Linked DNA regions of Neodiprion lecontei. The protein of the gene in region 1 binds, or shares a complex with, the protein of each later gene. Links are inferred from orthologs where the notes say so. Each region holds a gene or a part of one and is shown on either strand. Other genes may lie near its edges. The genes, in order: U6 snRNA-associated Sm-like protein LSm2, U4/U6.U5 tri-snRNP-associated protein 2, U4/U6 small nuclear ribonucleoprotein Prp4 and U6 snRNA-associated Sm-like protein LSm7.

What was found.
Region 2: U6 snRNA-associated Sm-like protein LSm2 (region 1) and U4/U6.U5 tri-snRNP-associated protein 2 share a complex: the UniProt entries of both Homo sapiens proteins name them as parts of the U4/U6-U5 tri-snRNP complex. The link is inferred for Neodiprion lecontei from reciprocal best matches to the Homo sapiens genes LSM2 and USP39.
Region 3: U6 snRNA-associated Sm-like protein LSm2 (region 1) and U4/U6 small nuclear ribonucleoprotein Prp4 share a complex: the UniProt entries of both Homo sapiens proteins name them as parts of the precatalytic spliceosome. The link is inferred for Neodiprion lecontei from reciprocal best matches to the Homo sapiens genes LSM2 and PRPF4.
Region 4: U6 snRNA-associated Sm-like protein LSm2 (region 1) and U6 snRNA-associated Sm-like protein LSm7 share a complex: the UniProt entries of both Homo sapiens proteins name them as parts of the precatalytic spliceosome. The link is inferred for Neodiprion lecontei from reciprocal best matches to the Homo sapiens genes LSM2 and LSM7.

Annotation. Positions count from the first base shown.
Region 1 is NC_060261.1:37,242,347-37,249,003, forward strand, and holds U6 snRNA-associated Sm-like protein LSm2, read left to right. Parts: upstream 1-3,336; 5' UTR 3,337-3,345; coding exon of another isoform or gene 3,346-3,440; 5' UTR 3,441-3,585; coding exon 3,586-3,588; intron 3,589-3,672; coding exon 3,673-3,740; intron 3,741-4,243; coding exon 4,244-4,334; intron 4,335-4,525; coding exon 4,526-4,651; 3' UTR 4,652-4,886; downstream 4,887-6,657. Other genes in the region: reticulophagy regulator 3, read right to left, coding at 159-430, 559-687, 807-957, 1,121-1,217, 1,342-1,467, 2,342-2,568; LIM homeobox transcription factor 1-beta-like, read right to left, coding at 5,699-5,955. UniProt on the Homo sapiens protein: Plays a role in pre-mRNA splicing as component of the U4/U6-U5 tri-snRNP complex that is involved in spliceosome assembly, and as component of the precatalytic spliceosome (spliceosome B complex).
Region 2 is NC_060260.1:4,203,500-4,212,496, reverse strand, and holds U4/U6.U5 tri-snRNP-associated protein 2, read right to left. Parts: upstream 5,799-8,997; 5' UTR 4,907-5,798; coding exon 4,825-4,906; intron 4,439-4,824; coding exon 4,160-4,438; intron 4,086-4,159; coding exon 3,910-4,085; intron 3,841-3,909; coding exon 3,615-3,840; intron 3,545-3,614; coding exon 3,258-3,544; intron 3,166-3,257; coding exon 3,037-3,165; intron 2,957-3,036; coding exon 2,895-2,956; intron 2,804-2,894; coding exon 2,581-2,803; intron 2,515-2,580; coding exon 2,455-2,514; 3' UTR 2,407-2,454; intron 2,231-2,406; 3' UTR 1,959-2,230; downstream 1-1,958. Other genes in the region: glutamate receptor ionotropic, kainate 2, read right to left, coding at 6,897-6,986, 7,284-7,340, 7,477-7,737, 8,563-8,669, 8,805-8,969.
Region 3 is NC_060265.1:31,357,752-31,366,650, reverse strand, and holds U4/U6 small nuclear ribonucleoprotein Prp4, read left to right. Parts: upstream 1-2,991; 5' UTR 2,992-4,210; coding exon 4,211-4,742; intron 4,743-4,809; coding exon 4,810-5,187; intron 5,188-5,513; coding exon 5,514-5,727; intron 5,728-5,830; coding exon 5,831-6,290; 3' UTR 6,291-6,814; downstream 6,815-8,899. Other genes in the region: nuclear receptor-binding factor 2, read left to right, coding at 1,444-1,467, 1,639-1,904, 2,221-2,707. UniProt on the Homo sapiens protein: Plays a role in pre-mRNA splicing as component of the U4/U6-U5 tri-snRNP complex that is involved in spliceosome assembly, and as component of the precatalytic spliceosome (spliceosome B complex).
Region 4 is NC_060260.1:39,227,324-39,233,913, forward strand, and holds U6 snRNA-associated Sm-like protein LSm7, read right to left. Parts: upstream 3,323-6,590; 5' UTR 3,247-3,322; coding exon 3,241-3,246; intron 3,144-3,240; coding exon 3,132-3,143; intron 3,040-3,131; coding exon 2,856-3,039; intron 2,712-2,855; coding exon 2,572-2,711; 3' UTR 2,092-2,571; downstream 1-2,091. Other genes in the region: chitin deacetylase 1, read left to right, coding at 53-196, 445-627, 784-922, 1,040-1,161, 1,228-1,457, 1,535-1,705, 1,811-2,089. UniProt on the Homo sapiens protein: Plays a role in pre-mRNA splicing as component of the U4/U6-U5 tri-snRNP complex that is involved in spliceosome assembly, and as component of the precatalytic spliceosome (spliceosome B complex).

The DNA.
Region 1 (6,657 bases):
AAAATCCAGCATTCATCATTTTTACTTACTGTGTATCGTATATTCAAGTAAAAGCCAACATTCATCATTTTCACAGCCAAATCAGGTAAATGGTGTGATTGATTCAGATGCGAGATATTATCAATTGTTATATATTACACAAAATTTATGTCAAACCTCTAAACGTTCTTGACATTTACAACTTCACGAGTGTCAATTATTTCAAATTCGCTGTCGCTGTCGTCGCTATGTTGAGAAATTTTCTGTGGCTGAAGTTCGGCTTCTTCCTCAGATGATGATCCTCTTTCAAAATGACCACTTTGGAACTTAATGCCATCAACTTCAACATCGTCGGTACTTAATTCCAATTCGGACAGTTCCAAACCGTCCGTGCTACCGTCTTCATGGGAAGGCATTCTTAGACCAACCAATTCTTTGTCATTAAGAGGATCTGTGAGTGAAATTACTATATAAGATACTAGAAAACTATCTCGGAGTTAAAGTATCAGTAATGTGAAAAAATGACTTCAACCCTCAGCAGTGTTGCTATTGTTACAAATCAAAGTGTGAAAACTGTACCAATTTGATTTTCCACTGACAAACTAGTCGGTGTAAGACTTTGATCCCCACTTTCTCCTGCTCGCTTTAACACTTGTAAGTTATCTTCTGTAACCGCAGGTAGAAACTCTTCTATTTCGCTATCCCATTCTGTAAGAATAATTCTTCAGATTAATGCTTGGTAAATACAGAGTTAGTTCTTCAAAAATTTTAACACTCTATCCAAAACAGCTGCAATTTATCTTGATCAAGTCTCACTTGTCATTCACCTTTAGACGTCATAACTTTGCACGGTATATGCAAAAGAATCCCAGGTCCTACTAAGATACTCATTAAAATTGTGTAAGCTAAAAGTGTCCCAGAAATTGCTCGTCCTGTCAGCCAGAGACCCAACGAAACTGCACAAGTAGAAGCGCAGAACTGAAGGGAAAAGGAAAGGCCATAATAGAAAATACTTATTTTTATATCATTCAACAGCTATAGATAAGATTAAAATAAATTTGGCACATGAATTGAAGGAACGCGATTAAACTCAAATAAGTAAAAATAATGATGTAATATTTATTAAATGAAAACATCCTACCACTCCTGGCTGTTGTTTGCGCAATTGCTTGAGGTTGTCAACACCAGACTTTAGCTGACGAACTATTTTGTTCAGCTGCTCTGACTTGACATGTGGGCTGTAAACACATGATTTGTTATCTGGGTTATTTATCATTATCGAATAACCAAAAATTTTACATTGAAGAAAATCTCTTACCGATGAATCCATGCAAATGTGAAATGTCAAAAGCAATAACTTACGTCGCTACAGTTGGTGATTTATTATCCTTTTGGGCCTGTGTCTCAAGGGTGCTGTAGCAGAGGACCACGACTAGCGCAGCACTGCTGGCTGCCGCAAAACCGCGAACCTCCAATACGACAATTCCCCTGAAAAAATTGAGATAAATAAATGTATAACTGTTCGTAGTTATGCTAAAATATCGAAGATCATAGTTTTTTGATTGTTATGTTCGGTAACAGGTAAAAATTTGTAATTAGACTTATAATGAGTCAAAGGTTCAATAAAATGTTCTATCAATTGAAAAAAACAAGTTTGTGTATCACCACTACAGATAAGATCTGATTTATCTTCCAGCGTCACTTCCTGAATACTGGTCGCACAGAATTGAGTACGATCATGTGTTCATATCAGTAAAAAAAAAACAGATTATACATATTCAAGGCTGAATAATACATTGCAATAGTATCTCATTAAAGTTTATATACAAATTCACACTGTCTTCCGATAGCTTGTTGTGAATATCTACGCTGTGAACAGCTGATAATTAATACATTACATTCTACGGAGTTAGACTGTATAGGTAAAGTTCATTTGCTCATATGTACACATACGACGTTGAAACAAATTTACGGCAATAGCTATGTTTCACCATCAAATTTCAATACCTCTACTTTACCATGTTACAAAATCAATTTTTAGTTAAGAAGAAAGACGCCAGCAGACCGAGAGTTATAATTTATTTTCATATGAGAAAAATAAATTTTTTACTCTTACAATATTCGATTCATTAACTTGTATGATTTTATATGATTCTGCAAATTTTAAATTCTCATTGTTATCGCTAGAAACATTTTTAGAGGTATAAACAGAAAATGTTGAAAAAGGTGGCACGACGTGTTAGCTTCTTTTGTGATCATATAAATTGCAAATCAATTTTTATGAGAGTATGGTAAATTTAGTATGCGATAAAAAGAAAAAGAGAAAAAATATTCAGCCAACGGGTAATATCGTGCAACTTACCAGAACAATAAATTGAAGACAATGACGACAGAGATACTATTCACTGAATTCTCCCAGAGCAAAATGCTTTCCAGAATTGTTAAAAATCTGTTGGACGTATTAAAGTTGTACTTAACGTCTCCGGGACGATTATTTTCGGACGTACTTTCGTCGTATTTTTCGGGGACATTTTCCTTCTCCCGAAGCCTCCAACGAAAATAATACGCGATGTTAGTTAATTTCTCCATGACTTGATGAAAAAAAAACCTCCTAAATGATTTATCAGTTATTGTTTTTAACCAGCATGGCACTGTTAAAAACTCGTCTCCGTATTATTTTTAGCGCGTGACAACGAAATTTTGCGACAGTCAGGCACACACCCCCACTTTGTTGTGTTCTACCTTTGATCTATTCGGTAGAAATTTTCTCCGTCTTTTATTCTATTTTATTCCTAACACACGAGAGTTTGTCCCCGTCGACAACCGCAACAGTAAGATCTCCGATAATCGCTGCGCAATAGAAGCTCACATCAAGCCCTAAACGCGTAATAGTATCTTCGCAATCCTTAGGACTGCGTAGGTCTCAACTACGTTTTCGCACTAATGGTTCGTGAAAATTGCGATGTTTGCCTACAGCGAAGCTGATGTTGGGAACCATGTGGTTCACCCCCACCACCTCGCAACGTTCAACCGTCCTTCTCCGACCTGGATATTCCCCATGCTGTTCTCTCCGTCCGGTGCATTCGCGTACCTTCCTTTCTCTGCTGGAGCGCTTTAAATATATCTATCCTTTTTAAATTACGTAAACCGTATTTATCACATTTCTTCTCTTTGTTCCCAACTATGTACATTTACATCCAAATCTCAACCCGATCCAGGCCAAATAACGGAGCTTCTATACCGTACGAATCAATACGGTACATCGATTATAAATTTTAATTTTATTCACAGTTTTCAATTGACGTTTTACCAAAATTTGTTAAGTCATTAGCGTTATTCTGCACATTTGTGCGTACCTATACGTACATATTGGGAACGTAAGTTGCCTGTCCCTTCCGCTCATGCGTCCCGCGCGCATTAACCCATGATTCTTTTATCAATACGATACCTCGACATTCCATCGACTATCGACCTAAAACTAGGCATCTGAACTATCGATATCTAGCTGCGTGTGAGAGCGTTATGTTCGGTTTTGTAACGAAGCGGCATAACCTCCAAAACTGAACGAGACACATAACCTGTGATTTTCTATGTTGTTCGGTAAAAATGGTTAGCGAAATATTTAAAAACGTCTTTGTATATTATCTACAGTTGAGGGGTTGTAATATTGGTCTTATTTCTTCTCTTTTACAGTTATTCTACTCGTTTTTCAAATCTTTGGTCGGGAAGGACGTCGTAGTGGAGTTGAAAAATGACCTGAGGTAACGTAAATATGCAACAATAAATCGTAAACATTCTCCGCATAATCTGCCGTGGTTAAATATACTTCCATTCAGTATTCGAGATTCGGAAGATACGGAGAAATTCAACAACGTCAATGGTCCACATACATGTACTTGAATAAATATGAATACAAATTCCGGGTTTGCAGATAGTCAGTGTTCTCAGTTTGTTGTCACTCGGTTTTCAAACTTGTCATTTGAGCTTTATTCGTTTTATTTGAGTTGTGAGAGTTATTTCTATTGTTGTTATCATACGATATGTTTGAAAGCTCCAATTACAATTTTCAAATGTTACAAGTTTTTTTTCTGTATCCATTCTAAGTTAACAAGCAATCCTGTTCACTTTTCTGACCGATTGTAACTCAGTCCATTTTTTCATTTCTGTCTGCAATCTAAATATTGATCAAACTTGCATTATGTATTATTCTTAGTCAGCTTTTGCAAATACCAATTACTCACCGTTGTTATTATTATATTTTCAGTATTTGTGGTACCTTACACTCTGTGGACCAGTATCTGAACATCAAGCTCACAGACATCAGTGTGACGGATCCAGATAAATATCCTCACATGGTTTGTAAAGTTACCACATGTTGATCAGTAATGCATGTTATAAGAAACTATAATCCGGCGAAGCCAGTACACAATAACACGTATTAAACATTTACTTGAATTATTCTATGTCTGGAGATATCCTACTTTCCTTAATTTTGTGATTCGGCAGTACAGAATTACTTGATCCAATTTTTGGTCGTCTGTTACAGTTGTCAGTGAAAAACTGTTTCATTCGTGGTTCTGTAGTGAGGTACGTTCAACTTCCTGGAGACGAGGTTGATACACAGCTTTTGCAAGATGCTGCACGGAAAGAGGCAGCTGTACAAACCCGATAACAAATCAGTACCAGTAATGCTTACATGTATGTTACGATTTACAATAAGACGTATTATAGACAGTTATGTTCAGTACGGTTTGATTGATAAAGTTTAATTTATTTAAATTTAATTTACGAAACGGGTGTTTATTCACGTTTGTAACAAATCACTGAATCTGTTGTCAACGGTTTGGCGAAAGTTCAAAGCAACATGATTGTAAGAAACTACAAATAAAACCTATTTTGTACAAATAGCAGATGGCAATTTTTTTGCGAATTTTTGGGTCTTGAATAACATGAGAAATTGAACGATTATTTTGTGTAATTATTTATCCCATACGTGCTTGAGGTACAGTGTTATGTCATTTTATTCGGGATTTGTTGCCAAGAGAATTTTTGAATTTACGTATCTATTGCTAATCAGGTCGGGTTGAAAATAATTATTTTTTATATCATTACTTCTGTCCAAAACCAAATAGAATCCTCCCATATTACAGTTTTTCGGTAACGATATTTGGTTTAGCAACTTTTTATTATTATAATATATTAAAGTACACTTATTATTAAACGTAAATACAAATATTCTTCTACATCTCTTTTATTTGGTATCAATCTTCATATTTAAAACTGAAAATCGATGTTTCAACGAAGTATATATATACGGTAAAACTAAAGCAACGGATTATTCTTTGGATTTAGCTATATACGATGAAATAAATATACGTAACTGGGTGATTAATTTTTTTTTTTTCAATAAATTAAAATATATATAAGTAATCATAGTATTGGTTGATCAAAATAATCGGTATCTGAGAAGGAAGTAAGTTTAAAAATCAACAACTCGAACGACAGCAATAATAGTTTACCAATTCTACGGGTCATCGAAGAAAACCTGACTAGAACAATATTACACAGCAGGTCGTTGAATCTCTACTCGTAAAAGGTACATCTACATACATGCGCGTACTTTGTTCGTTTCGTTTGAAAAATAATCTTCGAGTGAAATTCATTACGCGTAAGTTTCAGTTTAAGCTTGATCAAGCCCCAGGCTCCAAGGCTCAAACCCCTACGCATGTTCGCCGCTAAAATAACTGCTTTGCATCATGAAGAGTTTGTCTATCGGATTATGCATCGCGGCGTGTAGGCTCTGGGAAAGTGTCGGCGCTTCGTGCGGGGGAGGTCCGTGATGGGAATGAGGCCCACCAGGATGACTCCCATCCGGGCCCCCGTTATCCCCATCCCCGATATCGAACCCGGCCTCGGTACCGTCCAGAGAAAGGTCACTGCTGCAGAAACTCTCGCCGGAATGTCCCGCGTATGTGTCTGAAACGCAGATGAGGAAAATATGCAAAATCGAAAACATCAGAGTATCTTGGTTGGTATTTAAAATCAGTCAACTGTAAGACAAGGTTCGATTTATTCTTAGGTACTTCGCAGTGCGCTCATCCTCAGTGAATTAACCCACAAAAAATAAACTGAGCCAACGATGCAAAGTGTATATCGAATAAAATAGTCTTCTCGAAGAAGGAAATGGGGAAGGAATTGAGAGCGAAGTTCGAGGATCGCGAGCTTCTGCACTAACGATGAGTGACATTTCCAGTCGTGTTTACTGCACGGTGCAATTTTTTATCGTTATCAGAAAAAATATATTTCAGAGTCAAAGATAAAAATGAGTTTTATAGCTGTAATCTGTAAATCTAGTATGGTATATACATATATGCATGTGTTAATATTCTCTTTGATCATGGTCCTTGTAACTATTGCGATAAATTGATGTTGTTGCAACAATAAATTGTTGTCAAGGCCTTGTTTAGCTGAAAAATGAAGGGAAATAAACAAACAGATTCAATGTTGGAATAGTCAGAAAATGTAGTACTGGCAATTACAATCCGCGCTCTCAATAGTAATACCAGTACTAACAACAGTAATTTCCGCAGTATCGAAACTGTTTCTGTGACGATATGTTTCCTGGTAGAATTTTCCATTGACTGCAAAAAATGAAGTTATTCTCGGCGCATGGACATT
Region 2 (8,997 bases), on another chromosome or scaffold:
GAAAGAAAAAAATCGTTACTTTCGTTGCAACATCCATATTCTTGTTCAGGTTCTTCTTTATACGGTTTAGGTATTAAATTTCAAGCAATACTATAACGAGGGACGAAAAATAATTTTTTCTAAGCACGCATCGTTGCGCTATAAACGTTGCTAAAACTGCAACCCCGTGATGATAAATTTGATATTATATCACGCAATTGTCGTAACGACGACGATAAAATTTAACGATGCTGAAGTTAGTAACGATACATTAGGGGGTAAAAAAAAAAGATCACGATTTTGCAATTTTGTAGTAACTTTGAAGTGGCTATGTTTTGAAAATAGGAATTACTCCTGCCTTACTATAATTTACCGCACATCATAGATTCCTAAAATTACGAAATACGAATCATTACAATTAGGTTAGTAACAGTCAGCCTCGTAAAATTAACCAGTTTACTCAGTTGTTGAAATACTTGTATACCTATACCTACATCGCGTACGGCGAGGTGAAACAGCTAGACATATCGCACGTGTGTACATCGAATGCACACGCCGCAGATGATGTACGAGAAACTGGCGCACGCAAAAAAGCTGAGGAACGTAACACGTTACACTGACTTACGCGCAAGATAGTAGATACGGTATTCCTAGTGTGGCGTGCATACGTCCATGTATGAACGAGGCATGAGACGGTAACGGTACAGTTAATTGCGCGGGTAGATGAACGCGTCTCTTGATCGAGGTGTTTTTGTATCTAATTCTTAGCGCGCGTGCAGCAGCCGCCCGCGATCCGTGTGCATTTGAAAACGTTGATAACAAAAAAGGCTGAGATTTTTGTGAATATAAGGTGCATTCAAGGCGGCTGACTGGCGACGCTTCGACTATAGTCGCGCGGTCAAATATTCGTGACAAGGGCAGTATATTACACACCTCGATGCGGCGAGTAGTCAGGTGTTGGATCCAGGCACAACCGTTACAGCCGCCAGCAGCAGCACCATTCATTTACATTTAAACCAACAGCATCATTATCCTGCCGAAATTCCGATTCACGGCTGCTGCGAGGTATTAGAATCGCCTCTTCGATCCCAACTGCCGATATATCGTGTATGCATCCGTGCATACCTTACAAGTGACAACGTTCGGTCTATTTGTAAGACCTGAAGACAGGCATGAATCACGCGAGTGGGCAAGATTCAATTGCTTTACTTATCGGAACGTTTGATTTGGTGACTTTGAAGGCAGGCACAGACCGCGCGGCGTGATCAAAATTCAATTGTTTTACTTACATTCTCGGCTGTTTCTCTTGGAAATTGTAATTTCGAAGAAGGATGAGTTCCGATCGGTTAATCCATCTCGCACTGATCACACTCACACACACGGATACGTACACAGCACAGATAGGCAACAGACAACTTCACGACGGTTCGTTCGGGGGTTTCGATTCGAAAACAAGTCGACCGACCGCGTGTAAACACGAATACCTTTATCTTTCGATGAAACGAACTCGCGCACGGCTCGGAGCCGACTCAAGACTCGATCGCTGCCGAGAGTTCGGCGTTGTCCCGCCGCCTTGCGCGTCACGTCGAGCCGGGCCGCGCTGGAGGCTTCTGCGCATGCGCCGATAACGCGTTCGAAGCCGCGGAAGGTTCGCTTTCGGATATGTTTTGAGGAGCTTTTACGCCGGCTGCACGCGATCCGAAGCTCTGACGGTTTTTAAGAAATTATCGTATCGCGTGACCTCCGACGACTACCGAGCGATGCGATTTTCAAAGGTTTTATAGCGATTTATTGGCCACGCGCGACTCGTATAGACTCGATACTTCCACGTGTATCGAACAAACGACGGCTACGGAACGCAGTGAAGCGAACTGCCGATCCCGGGGATCCTGTTTCCAACTCATTTGCTTCTTCTTTGTTTTTTCAGGTTCAGGATTGACTTGGCAACCCTGCCGGTATATTCGAAGTGAGGCACGACGTTATTTTTTAAATCAGATTTTTGTTTTAAAACATCAACAATATCTGTAAATAGATTAATGTATCTGAATATCGTACATTACGTCTTATCCTCTTCCTAATATCGCAGCCGAACGATTGCTGCTAATTTCCGGAGTCTTCAAGGGCACGATTACTCGTAAAAAAAATTGAAAGTTGTATTCGATGGGTAATAAATTGCGTCACCAGTATCGATTTACTGTTTTTCTCTTTCTTTGCCACCTTAGTTCAACGACCCGGAGCGTGCGTCATCTTTCTATAAATAAAAATTACTATTCAGCCTGAATGAAAATCCTTGGCTTTCCGATCGATTGGTTTGAAAGTAGGGACGTTTCTGTGTGACACGATTTTTTACTATCCTTCTCTCCTCGTTTCAAGACACTCTGTGTGGAGAAAAGGTTCAGTGGCTATTAATTGTTTAAAATATCGTACTTTATTAAATGGTTCATTAGGCGTCCTCCTCCCTGTTTGTACAATTATTTATTTCGCTGTCTGGAATCCTTCGGTTTCGAAGCCAGCTTCTCTCCGTAATTCATAGATCTGCAATAAATTGGTGTGTAAGATTATGAAGTTGCATTACGGTCATCAGGGTAATGATATGCTTACCTGAATGTAAGCTTCAGTCAACGTAATCATTTGCGGTAATATTTGCGTCACGTGTAAATCCTGCATCTCGTACCACTGGCCTGTCCCTCTGTGCAAAACGTGAACTCTGTACGTTCCTTGACCGGGCTCACCGTCGTGAACTATGTTCGCTACCAAGTCGTACGTCGTGTACGGGTGTCTAGCCTTAACTTCCGGCGTGAGGATATCACCGAAATCTACATTTCTGCAATGTAATTTGGGGAAAAAATTATTTTACTCAAATGTAATTATTGTAATTGCGTTATTGAAAAGTACAAAAGCAAGCAAGCACTCACTTGACGGGAAAATTAACGATGGTGGGATTCTTCTCGACGAAGAAAGTATTCTTCGTAAATCTCTGTAACGTGTAAAAAAGTTTTTGGTATCGTTTTTTTAATTTTGAATAATTAGTTCGTAAATCGTATTTTATTCACGTACCTTGATGTACAAAATAAGATAAGGTGGTAGTTCGGTGATTTCAAATCTCTTCATGAAATTTTCCTTGTACGTTTTATACTCTTTTTCGGCTACTGCATTAAACTTGTTTAGTAATGTATACAAATTCACCTGTCAATTAAAGAATAAAATTACCAAAGTGCCCGATATTGAATGGAACGAGTTTTACGTGATGACCAACAATATCGATTTGCCTTGCTAACCTGAGGAATGATATTTTCCGTAAATTGGTCCTTGAAGAGCGGAGGTGGGGGCAGATCGCAAGTCAGGTACAAGAAAGGGCTTTCAGTTACGGTTTCTCCATACTCGAGTGTATTCAGAAGCTCACTTCGTTGACTCTCTTCCAGTTCTAGTGGCGGTATTTTCCGTGTATAAATCCGCATGTGGCCAAGAAACGTTTTGTATATAATGCTAGAGTCTTTTTTTTTCGTCCCATTTAGCGCCAGATGCAACGCGTTGAGAAACCAGGACAGAAAATCCACCGGATCACCTGTGGCGCAAAAATGTGAGTTCACCATGACAAGAAACGTGCGTATAATCATCGTAAAAATCTGGACAACCTTGTTCTGTGAATTGGAATCTTTTTTTGCTCCACAATACAACAGCTTGAAGCATTTCATGCGGGCTGACATGAGCCTTGAAATTTCTGGGATTCCATAACTTTCTCATCAACTCTCCGAACCTCTGGACTAGAAGGTAAGACGAATCTCCTGGCGGTCGTTTCACATGGGAGTAATTATATTCTCTCAGGAAGAAATCTCGCAATGGAGTAACGTGAGACAAAGCCTGTACAGAAAAATATATCGAGGTTGCTTTTCGCAAGTGTCATATTTGGCGTTGATTGTCCAAATTTACCTGCAAAATGACGTTGCAGTAATCATTTGCCTTAATGTTGTTCATTCCGACTATTCCGGGTGAATACATCGAGCCATCTATAGCTCTGGATAATTTGTCACTTTTGTCCAACTGAGAAATTTGCCATTTATCAAAAGTAGGATTTAGAACGTACTTTATGTCGTCAAGGGATGAATCTGTAAACATTAGCAACAGGGTCAGGGTTGAGTCGAAATCAGAAGATTTATATTATATAGGTATGTCAACTTACCGACAATTTCATAGTTGTCCGGTAAACAATAAAATTTAAGCGTGTGAAGATTAAGAAATACATGATGACTTTCAGCGACGCTATGAGTATAGGCGTGAGTGTTAGTGCCTCTACCTTGGAAATATTTACCACAAACTAAACAAGCGTAAACGTTGATTCTGGAAAGAGACACAGAACACAATTTCTCAAAATCAAAATCCAAGAATTGACGATTGATCGTATCGAGGTAAGGGCACAGACGTGGAGCCTCTGAGTTCGATCTATAGGTTTTTTGCTGCGCTGTAAGAAAATAAAAATGAACCACATGAAAATTGATCGGTTTGTAAATGATTTCGAGATACCGAGGCATGAAAATCGAGATACCAAAGTCATTCAATGAATTATACTCAAAGATTCAAGGTAAGGTTTGTCACTTGAGATAATAAACAAGTTTCCCGAATTCGGAATCACTTACTACTGGCAAAAACGGATATATTTGCTGTATGTCTAATTGGGAATGAGGATAATTGATGTTTCAATCAAGTAATAAAATGCAAGCCGAACGTGACGAACTTGTAGGTTAGTTTAGGTTATGTGCCGTTGCGTTGATGAAAAACTTTTTACTCGGGCAGACATATTATCACAAAAACAACGGTATTATTTATTATTTGAATTACAACAGTTACCATCGTTATCGTCGTCCGAATCACTGCCGTGTTCCACTAATTTCCTCTTTAGTTTACTTCCCTGTTTCCTGGACGCCATCATTGATGTTTGTTAGTTTTTCGACCTCCGACCATCGAGGTTCTTCGACTACCGATGAATAACTCGAGAGTCGAATGAAACTTACTTCGAGTCGGTTCAAATACTGACGAATTTATCGGTAGTCGGTGAATTTGCCAAATGCGGACTTGCTAAATAATGAAAATGTATAGTTATCTTCAGTAAACGCTTTGCGGTACTTACCATCCGGCAAGTAATGCATAATACAGGGCGTGCTTATCATAGCGAAGTGCCGCTGTAGCGGTCGAAGCAAAACAAATAACAGACATTAACGATTGATGTTGTTGCAGCAAGAACGAGAATCTAAGAAACTTTGACTACCCAAATATATTTCAAAACATTAATCATTTATCATTTACTCAACTAGCGCATTTCCATTGTAGGAGAGAATCTGGATTTACAAGAGGGATGAACCAATCGCACTATATTTGCACAATCATGCGTCAATGCGATAAGATCTATACTTAATTTACGTAATCATTGTTTACCGAAGTTGCAAAACATCGCAGCTGTAGAAATGAAGAAATGAAAGAATAGATTGGTTTCTCTCGATTCAATAGAAAAACAAATTCGCTGCTTGTCTATTTTACCAATACGCAATAATTATCGATTTCAAAAATGACTTCGATAAAACTTTTTTTCCTTTAATGAAATGATTTTTTTTTCACAGAGATTTTTAGGAAGTTGATCGTCGAACGGCAACGTATCCACGGTCTCAATCGTATCGAGTGACAATACGATCGATCAATCCTTTTTGTGAATCCATGTGTTCAGTTTTCCCAGGGATATTCACCAGTAGATGATGAGTAATGTTTGGGCTAGATTTCAAGCACACAAAGTTTGTTAAACATCTATTTATGCTGCAATACTTAACATCGTTTGGTAATTTAATTCGTTCGGTTTCGACCACTACATTGGCACTCCACTATGGCTATTATTACGCTTTGTGTAACGATCCACTTTAGTATGTATCGATACCCAGCCTGCGTTTACTTAAAATTTAATAAAATTGAAATAATTAAAATTACATTTATTAAAAGAATTAATTAAAATTAGTTCCAAAAACGTTTTTCATTTTCGATTATTTTTCCGCATAATCGTACAAGGAAATACGAAAAAAATACCATAAGCGGAATGCAATTCTCACGGATTATGCAACGTATATTATACCTGTATCAATATGAATAGCCTAAACATAATTATCTGCACAGCTCACACGAATGCAACATGTATAGATGTGTGTAAATATTATAAGTTGTACTCTTTAATACTAACATTCATCGTCTTATTATGATATTACACAATAATAATTACACATTTAAATTCAAATGTATAAACTAGACAAGTTCTCGCTTATCGTTATACATACTAAATCCGTATGTATACATCTATACCGACTATTTATTTACAATAAATATATATCATGATCGCGATTTGGATTCGTCATTACCATTCACCTGTATATTATATTGTTCGTTATACACGACGTGTAAAACACGTCATGTGTATCAAGAGGTACTATAGTTCACATGGTATCGTCGTTCCAACAATAACAATCACAATTTCAACTCAACTCCTCTAAATCGTTTATAATTACATATTACAATAATTCTGTGCAGTGAACTCAATTGTACTCGGCTCTGATCAATCAGCAAACGTGAGTTGTAAATCCGTTTATAGATCTGAGACAATTGATCTGGCAAAGGACGGTGAAACCACGAATAACTGCCTGAGATCGTACGGATTTATCTACCGCGCGTGTACCGACCGCATTAGAATGTACCAGAAAACAGAATTAACGCTTACGGTTGAACGCCTGGAAAAATGAATAAGTAATAAACGATTGAAATGACATAGTTTTGCTCAAGTTTACGTAAAGCGTGAAATTTTCAACCACGCTAGGAGAAAAATTCGGGTGAAAATTTTTCAAAAGTAAAACGAAGAATGACGAAGAACTTCGGACTTGTTGCCATCTTCAATCGTAATCAACGTCGAAGTCGTGCGAAAGTCCGTGATGCATGTGAATGTGGGGTGGAAGGTCGATGGCGCCCCCCAAGCTACTCCTCTGAAAAAATTTCAAACTTTTTCCCGTTGTGCGAAACTTTTTATACACCTACAACAATGCCGATTTCAAATGGGATTTGTTTTTTCTCTTACAAAATTACACGGTTATCGTGGTACTGTACATACTCAGTGCTTTACAAATTAATTTATACGCAGCGATAATTGCGACAGCTTTATTTTTCGATTAGCTGGGTGTAAACTAAAAAACAAAAGCTACAGGTGCAGCGGAAAGCGAGTTCGAGAGTTTGAAATAAATAAATAATAAGAGAACAAAGAAGAAAAAAAAAAAAACACACACAAACCAACTGCAGGAACGAGCAAACTTCCATCGATACAAACTCTTTCGACGTTCGATCTGCGGATGTTAAGCTGCGCGTTGAAAACCGGCGATTGATGTAATTGCAAATATCCTAGAGGGTTGATTTCATCTCCAGGCATATTCGAATCGCATGCATTTCCAAGGAAGACGTTATACGCATTTACGAAATCACCTGTGACCTCATCCCGTTAATCGGTGTGGGGGTTTGATTTTCTTGGAGGTAACCAGATCCTCTGTTTGACGAGCATTTTTCGCATCCCCGTCTTCTGCGCTTTGAAGAATTGCAGCGAATCGCCAGACAGAGCTCACGAGCCATTTCGGAGCACAGCGATTCCTGGGGGTTGGAATTCTGCTGTTGCTGTTGCTGTTGCTGTGTTGCCTGAGGAATGCCTTGCAGGGAACCGGAGCAGGTCGGAGGTCCCGTTGGCCGTTGCTGCGGGATAAGAAGAAAAAAGAAACGCCAACGTTTCATAAGTTCCTGCGAGCGTAAGGACATTCGCAAAATTGCGCGGCGAACCATTTGCGAAATTCTGCATAGACAGCGTGCAGGGCGGATATAGAAACGATTTTCAAACGTCCATGCCACGATTTTACGAATGGAAAGGTCTAGTTGATGTTTCAATAAATTTGCTGCAGCGTGTAAAAGAATGTCGACGTGTTGGTGAAACGTTTGGTAGAAGCCGATCATGGGTCTCTAAATTTTGACGAGAGAATTCTCGGTCTAAGGTTTAAAGTAAATATGAACGAAATGAAAATTTCTGTTACAAACACGTTTACGATTGTGTCTAACCGTGTCTCACCTTCATGCCTACGTCGAATCGGTGAAGCTAGTAAGATTTTCGGTCATGCTTCAATCCACGAGTTCATGCTGTAATGTTTGAATCTTGGATGGGTTTAGTCATGAAACGAAACAGATTAGTTCGTCCAAAACTTGTTGTTCGTGAAGAAAATCGTAGCAAAACAATAGCACTAAACACAAGAAGCATCAAATTATGCGAACTAAATACTCCTATCAACGATCTTTACTACCTCGAGACGAGTTCTTGGTTAGTAAAATAAAGAAACTTGCGTACCTGCATTAATTACGAAGCAATAGCAAAGCGAGCAAAGTATAAAGCGTGCAATTGAATTGTGCGGAATGGACAATGCCATTCTTCGCAAAAAAGAAAAGAAAAAAAAATTAATCTACTACTTTCAGCCACATAGCTGTAGCAAAAGTCCTCGACAAATTTTTGCCACCCGGATGAATGAAACTCACTCGTTCGGCGGGCGGTGGTGCGTTTCTTTTAGAGTTGTAGCAGAACTCGAATATCGCAACAAGAACTGCGAATGCGAGACCGCAGAGAAGGACGACGAATACTCCGCCTACAAATTTGAGGCGGCGGGCTTAATGACGCGTTGAAAGAGCGAGGGTGTGCAATATTAAACTCCCATTCGGAGATACATATGTAAACATTATCACGTAATACGTCGTCTGTAGATACGTGCATAAATGTATACCTATATTGTCGACGCCTAGGGCGTTGGCTTTGCTCTCCTTCCCTTTCTCGGTCCTCATGCACGTGTCGCCTGGACTCTTCCACCATTTGTCGTACAGCATCTGGATCTCTCCCTTCTCCTGCAGCTCAAGGATTGCCAGCGATATTTTGTCCCTCCAGGGCGATCCTGCGGTACGCATACTTGAATGTTCGTA
Region 3 (8,899 bases), on another chromosome or scaffold:
ACGCTAGTGTAAGGAATCAGGTGCGCTCGATAAAGGACTATTTTTCGTACAAGGTCGCGCATCACGCCATTTCATGTCACGGTAATTCATGGTGAACCTCACGAAGTAATACTAACTTCGTGGTGAACCTATAGCGCACGCGCATGCACGCGTACAAATTACATTACCTCAATACAACGTTGACAATTACGGAACAAACGTAGCGGGTCACGCCTCACGTTGACTCGGATCGTTTCATGAATTCAATAAAATGTACAGCTGTTCGGTTATGGGGCTTAAGAATCGTGGTGGGACCTGCAGAGGGAAATGTATTCACATTTCCATTATGCGTCGACTGAAGAATTCAATCAACGTTTCATGTATAACATTCTAATCTACTTCAGAATCTCAAACAGTTTTGAATCGACCGACTGCTGTGACGTCAACTAGCCGACCTTTTCGATTGGTTCTTCCGAAGGGCTGCGCCGTAGCACACTCACTGAATATGCCTTCGATGCGAGCCGAGCACGGTCTTACATACAGGTCTGGTAACTCCGGCACTTTTGAGTGGTAGGGGGTGTCACCGTTAGTGAGGCACACGGTCTTGTTTCCTATCTATCCGCTAGGGGCGCCATTGGCCCGGGGTATAATAGATATAGATATATACCGATAAGATGACCTGCTCATCGAAGTTTTTCACAGTTCATAACTCAGTGTAAAGTGTGTAAACGGTGTAAAAAATGCAGGATTGTTGATTCCGAAAAATCAGCTGTTCGGATCTGATTTATGATTGGCTCACCCCGAGGGGGCAGCGCTGCAGACGGCGAAGACGAAAACCACGGTTTTGCCTCATTATCTGAGTCATTCCCCACCCTACTAGTTTCCGGACCTGTATGTAAGACCGTGGAGCCGAGAAATAGCGTCATAATACCTATAGTGGGGTCTTTCCGTACAATCCGTTCCAAAAAGCTAGTTCGAGTAAACGAGAATTCAATGTATTCTTGCAGCGCTTTTACAGCGCCTATGTCAACCGTGGTCACAGTGTTGGTGGTTTAACTTTTTGCAGATGCTTTACGCTACTCTGACGAACGCATGCGCGACGCCATAAACCAGACAAAATTTCTCTCGGTTCGCTGCCTCTCTGTGCCGTAGAATAGCAAGCGTACTTGTTAGATTATAGTTCAGTGTGCAACACCTAATTGCATACAGTGTTGGCAGCTACCAGAGTTGGCGCTTCTATCGCAAACGACTGACGGTATGCATGTCGGTATGTTTGCATTTGTACATACATTCAATGTACGTGTATGTAATATACAAAGTAGAGAATTTGTCACGGGCTTAACTCGAGTGTGATGGGAGAAGGCATTTTTTCGGCCTCTCGATACATAGTAATTGGCAACTGTTAACGTTTATCGGATTTTCTTCGACAGTGAAACATTTACTGAGCCATAATTCCTTGTGATAATGGAAGGATGTACCTTGAACACGGTAAGTATTCACGTCAATAAATATGTTGTTAGATCCCGTCTAAACAAACATTATTACTTGTTTTTGAATAATAATAACAATGGTGCGAGGAATAATAATAACGAATTATTTATGTCACTTTGTCACGGTGGGGGTTGATGATGGATGGGGTGGGGGCGGGATCTGATAAAGGCCCATGCCGTGGAACGTAGGGCCGAGGCGTTAGTCAACGAGAGGAGGTATGAGGAGGCTGCGAGGTGCCACGAACAGGCTGCCCAGCTATTTTCTGAAGTCCAGATAAAGATACAGTTGCCTAACCTTGACAACGTACGGAATTTCGAGGTTGGGGAATCGACCCGATGTTTGAACCCCTTGACAAGGCCATCTCAATTACACACTGCTATTGAATCCATCCAGCTGCAACGAGATTACCATCGCAAACAGGCAGCATTTGTCAGGTAATCTAATTCGCCCATGCAATATACATTATGCATGTATGTAGAATTGTTTTAAGCTTCACAATTTCTATACGTCCTAATATTATTTTTACGCACATTGGAGTTTTATTATACTGAAGCTTGGTAGCAATGGTTATAGCATTGTTAGGAGGTTATTGTTCCCCATCTCACCGTAAACCCTTATCAATTGACTATAGTTGCTCAAGTAATCGTAATTTTTCGTAAATTTGTTCAGTCGAGCTGTAACTTTCGGAAGCTTCTAGTTTTGAATTTGAAAGCGATTCGATATATCTGAACACTTCGATTACTTTTACAGAATGCAGCAGGTTCAATACGAAGAGTACAAAGCAGCATTGGAAACACACGAAAAAGAACTGCTGTCTAATCAGATTGCGAAGCACTCTGCAAATTTGAGTTCGAGGAACTTTGTCACCGTCGACAAAGATGACAAGTTTCTTCATCAAGCTATCGACAGAGCAATGGATGAACAAGACAGTTTGATAGACCTAATATTGACACCGCAAAATGAAACCATACCGGTAAAACGTCCAAAAGATTCAGCTGTTGTGCTAGAAGAACTGCGAACAGTCAACAGCCAGTTGCGACTGTTAATCGGAACACTATTGAACCAGCTCGACTCTAGTCAACAACAGATTAAAGTACTCACTGAACAATTGAGAGCAGCGACAGCCCCTGACAAGGAGTCCCTCCACTCAAACACTGAAGATAGTTCAATAAGTCTTGCCCCATTGCCGCCGCTTGCCCCGTTGGAAATGCCGTCCTTTGACTTTGCCACTTCGTAATAGGGAAAATATTGCATCTTGGATGTGCTTAATATTTATCTCTTTAAAATCAGTCAAATTTTTGTCACAGTAAGAGGAAACAAGTATCAAGTGATAATCTCACAATAGTATTAAATATTTAAGTAACATGTGTACCAGTTTCGTTTTTTCTTTAATTTTACCACTTTGACCATCCGAAAAATACAAGTGTTGTAAAGGTTCAATTACTTACTTTGCTGAGGTAACAGTCAGTGGCGTACATAGTTGAAACACTGTTTAAGGCTTTACTGTGCATATACATATATTGGACAGGGTGCCCAGAATCCGGGAAAACCGAGAATAATCAGAGAATTTCGTCTATTGGGCAAAGTCAGGGAATTATGATGGAGAACGGTGAAAAACGTAATTTTTTATAAATAGTTTTCAATTTCAACTATGCTTCGTAAATTCAGCTAAGCTAACATTCGGAAATGATATTGTTCAATTTGTAATTATTTATGTGAAACGAAACCCCACTGTTCTTGAATCCAAATTTATATATTTCAGGTGCATAATTTCTGGAGCTTTTGGTCATAAAAGCCAACTAAAGTGACCTAAGGTTTATAGAAAAAGATCAGGGAATTTTTAATTTTTCGACGGGAAAAGTCAGGGAAAAGTCTAGAATTTTATTTGAGCAAAATTGTCGCTACCCTGTTGGAGTTTAAAAAATCAGTGTAGCGTGGTTGCAAATTTCCTGAGACATGCTTCTCGCACCTTAAGATATTCATAATGTCTTCTTTTTTAATTCGTGGCTATATCCCCTTAGGGCAAGTGCTAATGATTTGTTGCTTCACAAAACTTTCACAAGAATATTGAATACTCAGCATGGACTACAGTTAATCAATTGCAATGGCATTAGACAAGAATGCAATAATATGGTTATAGCTCCGAGTATGAATGCTGGACATAAGGGATATAAGTCTACCTGCATAAGATTGTGTGGGACTTTGCTTAATTATTTTGAACATTTTAAGTCGACAGTTTTCAACTTTCTCAAAGAACTCAAATCACACTGATTTGCATGTGTATATATACATACATATATCAGTGCCCGGGATGCCTCGCGAATCGTGCATGAAACCAATGTTAGAACTATACAATTTATGGACAAAGCTGGAGACCCCCCACCTCCCGAGTTTTCAGACCTGTAAGTACGATCGTGCTCTAGACTGATCTGTACCATCGGTGAAAAAGTAGTCTATGCCTGGAATAGCGTCCAGTATGGCTGTCAATGATAATTTACAATAACGTGACTGTGTAACACTTAATATTCGTTCGAAAAAAGATGAATTGATTGCAGCAAGTGAAATCACTATAATCAAAGAATACTTTGCTTTACTTTATAGCATTTCTGTAGACCGTTAATTCAAAACTTCTGTGAATGGTCGTAGCCTAACCTAGATTATAAACGTTATAAGCCGCATTTTGTGAAGTATTTAAACAAAATAACGTATTTATACATTTTTTTACTTGGATATAATTGAAATGTCCGACGACGAGGACCTTGTTTATGTAAAAAAGCAAAAAACTGTGCATTATGGATCCCTTGAGGAAGCTGAACGTGCCCGGCTCACAGCTACATCTGCAGAATCTTCAGATGAGGAAAGAGATCATAATAGGAGTCCATCAGATACGCCAACAACTGCTGCTGCCCTGGGAAATGTGCACATATCAAATGAATACATGGAACTTGAAGATGAGATGTCTAAAGACAGGCAAGCTTTGCTCGAAGAATTTGAGCGGAGAAAAAAAGCCAGGCAGATTAATGTTTCCACCGATGATTCGGAAGTGAAAAACAATCTGCGCCAATTAGGGGAACCAATTTGTTTGTTTGGTGAAGGCCCAGCAGACAGAAGGTCCAGGTTGAGAGAATTATTGGCTAGCTTAGGTGAAGACGCTATTAAAAAAAAACATGAGGACGAGGAGCGGCCATTGCATCAGACAGAACGAGATGCGGAATCAACTTGGTACCACGAAGGACCAGATTCCCTTCAAATTGCCCGCTCGTGGATAGCATGTAAGTATCAAAACGTATTGATTCAAATCAAAAGTTTGCACTGTAACAGTTATGTTTTTTTTTTTAGCGTATTCACTTCCCAGGGCAAGAGATCGGCTTGAAAAATCTAGAGAAGAATTAGAGCTTCCAGGGGCTACACGTACTGCACGTCGGCAGGAACTTCTGAAAAAATTACAGGCTCTCAGCATTTATTGCTCCCAAATTGGAGACAGCCGTCCCATATCATTTTGCCAATTCAGTCCGAATTCAAAATTACTGGCAACATCTTCCTGGTCTGGGCTTTGCAAAATTTGGTCTGTACCTGAATGCTCAATTGCCAGAACCCTCAGGGGCCATACCTGTAATGTAAGTTGTATTGTTTTCCATCCGAATGCAACACTCACTGAAGACATGCTGGGAGAAAATGCGTCGCCTACATGTGTTCTAGCAAGTTGTGCTTCAGACGGTAATTATTGACATGGTGAAGGACATGTATTGTTGACTCATGAAGAAATGCATCTATTTTGTAATTCGATAGCAGATTTTTTTATAGCTCACCAGAAATCTGTTCACATCAAAATTACACTGCTTATTCACATGAGAAAGTATTGCTCATTTGCATGCATAAATTCATCTATGCATTCTTAAATCGGTCATATTATCAGTCAGTGATTGACTTGCTCATACTTACAGAGTGGATGCTCAGCTTCTTAACTATAAGATTGTATTATGACTGGTCTGTTGCTTAGCTGATTTATCTATATAGTCATCTCTATCTTTATGTTCTCCTAGGAAGTGTTAAGCTGTGGGGTGGAGGCAAAAGTGAAGAGCCGTTAGCAGAAGTTGAAGGTCATGAGCCCCATAGAGTATCAAGGATTGCATTTCATCCATCGGGTCGCTTTTTAGGAACCTGTTGCCACGATGCTTCTTGGCGACTGTGGGATCTGGAACAACAAGCTGAAGTTTTGCATCAAGAGGGTCATGCCAAGGCAGTACATTGTATAAGGTTGATACTATTATATAGTTTTACTATTCTTGAAGAAATTTTTTCAGTCGATCTTGATGTGGTGACAGAAACAATGGTTGACTGAATGGTTTTTTTTTCACAGTTTCCAATGTGACGGCAGCGTTGTTGCTACGGGAGGCCATGATTCCTTTGGCAGAGTTTGGGACCTGAGAACAGGCCGCTGTATCATGTTTATGGAGGGTCATTTGAAATCTATTTTCGGAGTTGATTTTTCGCCTAATGGTTTTCACCTGGCTACTGCAAGCGAGGATAATTCGTGCAAAATATGGGATTTACGAAAAAGATCGTGTATTTACACTATACCGGCACACACCAATTTATTATCAGACGTGAAGTATCAGCGTACTGAAGGGCAGTATTTGGTCACGGCGTCGTATGACAATACTGCGAAAATTTGGTCCAACAAAACGTGGCAACCGTTGAAGACATTGCCAGGACATGATGGCAAAGTAATGTGCTGCGACGTTTCTCCTGACCACAAATTTATAGTCACAAGCTCATATGATAGAACATTTAAGCTCTGGGCACCTGAAAACATGTGAAATAAAAAGAAAATATTTGCTATAAATCCTGTAAATGCCCATTGTCTTTAGTGAAAATTTTCAGTGACTGTTTCTCCTGTTGTAAGTAGAATCGACTGAACAGAGAGACACGGGTTACCATGTTGAGGAAATTAAATCTATGACTGTTGAAAATTCATGATAAAACATTGTTTTATCGTTGTACTGCTGTACGGGTAACAATGTTTGTGGTGTATTCTGTATGATTTGCAGTATCAAACGATGTGGTGAGTATATTTAGAGCGCTGAATACTATTTCTGAGATGGAAAATTTTATAATTTGATAATCAGAGTTGCAGGCGATCAAACGTGCACGACAGAGGATAGAAGGCAGGCTTAATTGCAGGCAACCTCAGCTAGAAGCTGGTGACATGCGTCATTTTTAACAACAAAAACGTGCGATTTTCTCAGAAACATCTATAATCAATCCATTTGTATAACGCCGAATCAGCTTAATTTGGCCGAATGAAATTAATACAAATAAACACCTATATTTATCTTTCAGAGATCAATATTTTAATATTTTGAAGTTAGTGACCATAAACGAACTAGTTTGATTATATTTCCTCAGCTGTAAAACCTACAATGTTCTAGAGGCCTTTGTTGAAGTCCGGAGAATTCAATTTCTGACAAAAAGCTCTTGAAAGACGACTCTAAGTAGACAAATTTTCGACCTCCAAAACATCGCGGAACGTTGAAGGCCACTACTGAATTTTTGAAAAATGCTGGACATTCCCATCGCTTCGTTCAACTATATGGCGACATGATTTTCCCAGACAAATCCGTTGTGCACATGCTCAACTCGCTGCGAACGGCGGATCGAAGACTATTGTTTTTTCGAATTTCTTGCATGTCAAGTGATCCTCGCGATGAACCCCCGACCTTCACCTTCTCAGGCAACAATCGTCGCTCTGGCGCGTCAAAGAATTAATTCCAGCATTTTTAAAAAGTACAAAACATTTCACCTAAACTGCAGAGGGCCTTACTTTTTTTGGGCAAAACATTTTTGAGGTTAGCTTTACTTTTTTTTCACTTTTCGACCAAAAAATTTTTGGTCCCGGAGTTGGTTTGTATGGCCCTTTCCCGACTAATTGGACCCCCAGGAACTGAAAAAACGCAGCGAAAAGAGCGTGGGAGCAACAGGAGAGAAATTACGAAGGAAAGAGCAGCTGCTGAAAAATGTCGAAAACACAGGTTTTCGTTTTTTGGCTGTAACTTTTGATGCGTTGATCGCAGCGTATTGGGACTGCGCCCAATCGACTTCTCTCGCAGAATCACGTCGGAATAGTGCATGAAAGAATTTATTCCAGGACTTTTCAAAATCGCCAAAATTTTCGACAAAAATGCAAAGGGGTTAGCCTTACTTTTTTTTCACTTTTCGACCAAAAAATTTTTGGTCCCGGAGTTGGTTTGTATGGCCCTTTCCCGACTAATTGGACCCCCAGGAACTGAAAAAACGCAGCGAAAAGAGCGTGGGAGCAACAGGAGAGAAATTACGAAGGAAAAAGCAGCTGCTGAAAAATGTCGAAAACACAGGTTTTCGTTTTTTGGCTGTAACTTTTGATGCGTTGATCGCAGCGTATTGGGACTGCGCCCAATCGACTTCTCTCGCAGAATCACGTCGGAATAGTGCATGAAAGAATTTATTCCAGGACTTTTCAAAATCGCCAAAATTTTCGACAAAAATGCAAAGGGGTTAGCCTTACTTTTTTTTCACTTTTCGACCAAAAAATTTTTGGTCCCGGAGTTGGTTTGTATGGCCCTTTCCCGACTAATTGGACCCCCAGGAACTGAAAAAACGCAGCGAAAAGAGCGTGGGAGCAACAGGAGAGAAATTACGAAGGAAAGAGCAGCTGCTGAAAAATGTCGAAAACACAGGTTTTCGTTTTTTGGCTGTAACTTTTGATGCGTTGATCGCAGCGTATTGGGACTGCGCCCAATCGACTTCTCTCGCAGAATCACGTTGGAATAGTGCATGAAAGAATTTATTCCAGCACTTTTCAAAATCGCCAAAATTTTCGACAAAAATGCAAAGGGGTTAGCCTTACTTTTTTTTCACTTTTCGACCAAAAAATTTTTGGTCCCAGATTCGGTTTGTATGACCCTTTCCCGACTAATTGGACCCCCAGGAACTGAAAAAACGCAGCGAAAAGAGCGTGGGAGCAACAGGAGAGAAATTACGAAGGAAAAAGCAGCTGCTGAAAAATGTCGAAAACACAGGTTTTCGTTTTTTGGCTGTAACTTTTGATGCGTTGATCGCAGCGTATTGGAACTGCGCCCAATCGACTTCTCTCGCAAAATCACGTCGGAATAGTGCATGAAAGAATTTATTCCAGCACTTTTGAAAATCGCCGAAATTTTCGACAAAAATGCAAAGGGGTTAGCCTTACTTTTTTTTCACTTTTCGATCAAAAAATTTTTGGTCCCGGAGTTGGTTTGTATGGCCCTTTCCCGACTAATTGGACCCCCAGGAACTGAAAAAACGCAGCGAAAAGAGCGTGGGAGCACCAGGAGAGAAATTACGAAGGAACAAGCAGCTGCTGAACAATGTCGAAAACACAGGTTTTCGTTTTTTGGCTGTAACTTTTGAT
Region 4 (6,590 bases), on another chromosome or scaffold:
ATCCGACATCAAAGCTCCTAATGACCTGATCAATTTCACCTCTTATACACAGAGGAAATACCCCCGAAGCCACTTCTCGACGACGGTGAATGCGAGGATGATACCTTGGCATGTGGAGACGGAACGTGTTTACCTTCCCTTTACTTTTGCGACGGAAGCGTTGATTGTCCGGATGCCTCGGACGAGGCCTGGTGCGGTAAGAATCGTTAGAATTATTCAAAACCGCAGAGAGTTATTTAGGTACTTAAGGAAGACGATCGCTCTTACCTTGAGTTGGACTGGGGCCAACGGTGGACTTTGGATCCCAGCAATAAACGTCTGAAATTTCGATAGTAAAGTTTAGGAATATATTCAGAGATTAGTATCCTTGGAAAAGTTGATTTATTTACAGATATAGGATATGCTGGAAGAATTGAAAAAATAAAATTCATCTTGTGATTTCAGATACAGAGAAGGACCGCAACGCGGCACCGTCTTGCGACCCTGAAAAATGCCACCTGCCAGACTGTTGGTGTTCCAAAGAAGGTACCAGAGTACCTGGAAACCTGAGCGTCTCCAACATTCCCCAGATGATCTCGATAACTTTCAACGATGCCGTCAACGCCGAAAATATTGACCTTTACTCAAGTAAGCATCATCGGAGAAAAAAATCGGTAGGAAATCTGCCAGTGAAAATTGACGATTCCTTGACAATGACGACTCGAATTTCCTTCAATCGCATTGCGAATTTGATTCTACGAAATCAGGAGTACATTTTTCGCAGTACACTTTCATACTTTTCAGACATATTCAACGACGCGAGGAGAAATCCGAACGGATGCCCAATTCGTGGTACATTCTACGTAAGCCATCAATTCACAAATTACAGAGACGTACAAAGTTTGTGGAACAATGGCCATGAAATTGCAGTTCATTCCGTAACGTGAGTATACGTGTAATGACAGGACATCCAAGCCGAAACAAATAATATATTCAGTTCCATGAATTCATCGCCGAACGATAATCACGGCGTAATCGTTGAAAGAAATTCCTATTGCAGACATCGAGGCCCTGAAGAATGGTGGTCGAAAAATGCAACTATCGAAGATTGGTTCGACGAAATGGTCGGGGAGGCGAATATCATACACAAATACGCGGGAGTACGAATCGAGGAGATCAGAGGTACAGTAAAAGAAATATGATAAATTCATATTCCAATTCGCGAATTCCATAATGATCGGTTAACAGGACTGCGAGTGCCGTTTCTCCAAGTCGGATGGAACCGTCAGTTTCTCATGATGACGGAGTTCGGATTCGCCTACGATTCGACAATCGTAGCCCCGTTCTCGAATCCACCGATTTGGCCCTACACCCTAGATCATCAACCTCCTCACCCTTGCGGCAGCCCCGGTCAGTTGTGTCCAACACGTTCGTACCCAGGCCTCTGGGAGATACCGATAAACCAACTGCTGCTAGGGGTAAGAATATCTCCTCGAGGCATGGAATATTGGTCTCTGAAGTTTCTATTTAATCGCTGTTTCGGTTCGTGTTTTAGAATTACACGTGCACCATGATTGACTCTTGTACGCGGGATCTGTCAGGGGAAGAAATATATCGTATGCTGACGGTTAACTTTAACAGACATTATCTACAAAATCGGGCACCCTATGGACTCTACTTTCATGCAGCTTGGTTCAAGAACCCAGCATACCACTACGCGTTCTCGGTAATAGTCAACTTTTGTCATCTCGTCGTTAAGAATCGTCACAAAATTAGTAAAGTCCTTCAATTTACAAGCATGTTATGTATTGATTATTATTCTGTATTCCAGAAATTCATTGACGACACTCTGCAGCTTCCAGACGTTTACTTTGTAACTAGTAATCAAATGGTTGAATGGATGCGAAATCCAACGCCGTTAAACAAGCTAAAGAATTTTCAGCCATGGAACTGCAACAAGCGGCAATTCGAGCCCCGGGAAATTGCCTGCGCCTTGCCGAACACGTGCAAGTTGTACAGTAGTGTCTTAAAGTCTGATAGATATTTGTACACGTGTTACGAATGTCCGAAACAATATCCCTGGTTAAGAAATGAGTTTGGATTGAACTAAGGTAACGGTTTTTCTTCTTGCGTTGTATTTTACTTACTTCTCTTCTTTCTCACAAATCAATTGAGGGTGAAATTAGATCAATAAGAATATCACGCAATATGCCATAATTTTAAGAACTTACGTAGTTACATCTAGAGTGTGTAATTACCACAGAGATTTGCTTGTAATTTGTTCGAATATGACTGAGTACCTTAATTAGTTGTAAGTAGGATATTTATTTGTACGAAGAACGTATTATATGTGTATCTACCATGAGAAGAAAACCACAAATGATATTTATTATCTAGTAGTGGAACGTAAAAATAAATCGATCATCGTGTGGTTAGGATAGATGTTCGAGTTTTACCAATCCATAGTCATTTGAAACAAATCATAAACCGATGGTCGATGGATGTGCACACATGGCGTGTCAGGTCTGTTTTTTTCTTCAAGCTTATGTGATTCGAAAAGGTTGTAGATAAAAATTTGTGTAATATAAACCGTTAACCATCTTGCTGAATGAATGGGTTCTGTATCGATTCCATTCCATCGACTGGACATATTAGAACAACCGACGTTCCTCGGCATACAACTAACCCCAGCATCCTTGTATCCTGATTCAATTTGTAGGGATCATCTGGATCTGAAAACGGCACAATCATCCACAATGTTACTCATTTGTTATTACTCTGAAAATTGAGTGATTTCAAACCAATTATCAAAGCGGTAATATCAATAATTTGACTTATAAGGACAGACGGTAACTGATTAATTGACTACGATGTACCTCTAAGATATTCAGTCGTGTTGTCTAAAACAAGATTCAGGAGCGGATCATATCCTTTTAGAATTCCTGCAGCTTCCCTGCCTCCGGCAAACTTTACCCTTATGTTCTTCTCAAGGTATTTGGAGAGATCCAATATACTTTCCTTCCTTTTCTTCTCCTTGTGATCAGTGTGAGCATTTTGGTTCTAAAAACATTATTCAAGTTATTATAACAGTTAAGTTTATGGACTTTGACGATTTTTGAAGGTTATGTTGCTGAAACATAACCTTGATTTACCTTATTAGCAGTCTGTAAAATAGAAATTTATGGAATGACAATTAACTTTCATATTTATAGGTAATAGTACCGAGTATTATAATCATGATGTATGTCTTGATAAACTTACAGACATGTTTTACTTCTCAGGTTATTCCAAGTAGTAAAAAAACAAGTGACCGCCGGTTAATAATACGAATGATTACTGTGAATTCCGCGTTCGTAAAATAAGGAAAAAAGCCATCGACCATAAACCGAAGACGTACCGACACATGTAGATGGTCAACTTTATGGAAATGATCTTCTGACGTGGAATTTAGTGGGAAGTATGATTTTGATTACGTGGAAAGTAGAAAATAGAACGAATTAAGTGAGCAAAGACGTTGCGGATTTGTGAGATGAAATTTTTTTGGCCGTAAAAAAGAAAGGCTAACTTTTTAACCTTTTGAATTTCATTGGTATAAAATTTGTCATCTCTGAACGGAAATTTTTTTACGTGTCTCTTCAGCTGTTGATCTCACAAGGTTTTGAAAGCCTTATATGACTTCTGTGGGGTCTAATTAGCCTAGTAAGGATCGCACAAATCGATGCTGAGATAAAAAAAATTTTTGTTTCAAATATCGCAAAAAATGTAAATTCTTTTAACTTTTCAGGTCATATTTGGCAAATTTTAGTGAATGCTGAAATCGATTAATTCATACCCAATATCAACGTAATTTTGAGAGAGGAATTCATTACGGCTGGCAAACCGAGTTGCAAAGAGGTGGAAGAGAAAAATAACAAATTCATAGCTACCAAGTTCCAGTTCCAGTTTATTCAATGTACCTTAGTTCTATTACAAGTGTTCAGGTGTCAGTGTATACTAATTTACCAAATTTCCAAATAGTATAGTTCTAATATGTTGCACTAATGCATTATAGTATTCATGATATAATATATCAATAATTCCTATAATAATACATTCACTGGTATAATTAGGATAATATTTCCAACGTTATTGGTGTTCAAGATAAAAAGTTGCAGAACAATGAACTAACATGACACAAGGAGTCTAAATACAGCATAGGGAAAAAATACTACGATATATATTGCATTAAGCTGAATATAAACAATGTTGTACAAAATAATTATTAATGCAGTTTCTAAGTGCGGTTTCAATTTCAGCCTTAGTACAGGTGCAATTCACCGTCGCAGAAAACGAGACGTGTAATAGAATACAATAGATACAATAGATTGGAATGTTACGATTTTACATAACCTGGAATAAAATAAATAACACCTAGATAATTTCTCCCTACTTTCTTCATACTATCTTTACTGTTGGTACCACGCTCTTTTTGGTGCGTTTTCTGAGTTCCTGGTGGTCCAATTAGTCATAAAAGCGTCATACAAATCGAATCTGAGACCAAAAGTTTTTTGCCCAAAAAAAAAGTAAGGCTAACCCCTTTGTGTTTTTGGCTAAAATTTTCGCGATTTTGAAAAGTGCTGGAATCAATTCTTTGGCGCCCTATATCGACGTAATTTTGCAAGAAAAATCGATTGGGCGCAGTAGGAACACGCTGCGAGCAGCGGGTCAAAAGTTACAGCCAAAAAACCAGAACCTGAATTTTCGACATTTTTCAGCTGGTGCTCTTTCCATCGTAATTTCTGTGCTGTTGGTCCTACGCTCTTTTTGCTGCGTTTTCTGAGTTCCTGCCGGTCCAATTAGTCATAAAAGCGTCATACAAATCGAATCTGAGACCAAAAGTTTTTTGCCCAAAAAAAAAGTAAGGCTAACCCCTTTGTGTTTTTGGCTAAAATTTTCGCGATTTTGAAAAGTGCTGGAATCAATTCTTTGGCGCCCTATATCGACGTAATTTTGCAAGAAAAATCGATTGGGCGCAGTCGGAATACGCTGCGAGCAGCGGGTCAAAAGTTACAGCCAAAAAACCAGAACCTGAATTTTCGACATTTTTCAGCTGGTGCTCTTTCCATCGTAATTTCTGTGCTGTTGGTCCTACGCTCTTTTTGCTGCGTTTTCTGAGTTCCTGGTGGTCCAATTAGTCATAAAAGCGTCATACAAATCCAATCTGAGACCAAAAGTTTTTTGCCCAAAAAAAAAGAAAGGCTAACCCCTTTGTGTTTTTGGCTAAAATTTTCGCGATTTTGAAAAGTGCTGGAATCAATTCTTTGGCGCCCTATATCGACGTAATTTTGCAAGAAAAATCGATTGGGCGCAGTCGGAATACGCTGCGAGCAGCGGGTCAAAAGTTACAGCCAAAAAACCACAACCTGAATTTTCGACATTTTTCAGCTGGTGCTCTTTCCATCGTAATTTCTGTGCTGTTGGTCCTACGCTCTTTTTGCTACGTTTTCTGAGTTCCTGGTGGTCCAATTAGTCATAAAAGCGTCATACAAATCCAATCTGAGACCAAAAGTTTTTTGCCCAAAAAAAAAGAAAGGCTAACCCCTTTGTGTTTTTGGCTAAAATTTTCGCGATTTTGAAAAGTGCTGGAATCAATTCTTTGGCGCCCTATATCGACGTAATTTTGCAAGAAAAATCGATTGGGCGCAGTCGGAATACGCTGCGAGCAGCGGGTCAAAAGTTACAGCCAAAAAACCAGAACCTGAATTTTCGACATTTTTCAGCTGGTGCTCTTTCCATCGTAATTTCTGTGCTGTTGGTCCTACGCTCTTTTTGCTGCGTTTTCTGAGTTCCTGCCGGTCCAATTAGTCATAAAAGCGTCATACAAATCGAATCTGAGACCAAAAGTTTTTTGCCCAAAAAAAAAGGAAGGCTAACCCCTTTGTGTTTTTGGCGAAAATTTTCCCGATTTTGAAAAGTGCTGGAATCAATTCTTCGGCGCCCTATATCGACGTAATTTTGCAAGAAAAATCGATTGGGCGCAGTAGGAACACGCTGCGAGCAGCGGGTCAAAAGTTACAGCCAAAAAACCAGAACCCGAATTTTCGACATTTTTCAGCTGGTGCTCTTTCCATCGTAATTTCTGTGCTGTTGATCCTACGCTCTTTTTGCTGCGTTTTCTGAGTTCCTGGTGGTCCAATTAGTCATAAAAGCGTCACACAAATCCAATCTGAGACCAAAAGTTTTTTGCCCAAAAAAAAAGGAAGGCTAACCCCTTTGTGTTTTTGGCGAAAATTTTCCCGATTTTGAAAAGTGCTGGAATCAATTCTTCGGCGCCCTATATCGACGTAATTTTGCAAGAAAAATCGATTGGGCGCAGTAGGAACACGCTGCGAGCAGCGGGTCAAAAGTTACAGCCAAAAAACCAGAACCCGAATTTTCGACATTTTTCAGCTGGTGCTCTTTCCATCGTAATTTCTGTGCTGTTGATCCTACGCTCTTTTTGCTGCGTTTTCTGAGTTCCTGGTGGTCCAATTAGTCATAAAAGCGTCACACAAATCCAATCTGAGACCAAAAGTTTTTTGCCCAAAAAAAAAGGAAGGCTAACCCCTTTGTGTTTTTGGCGAAAATTTTCC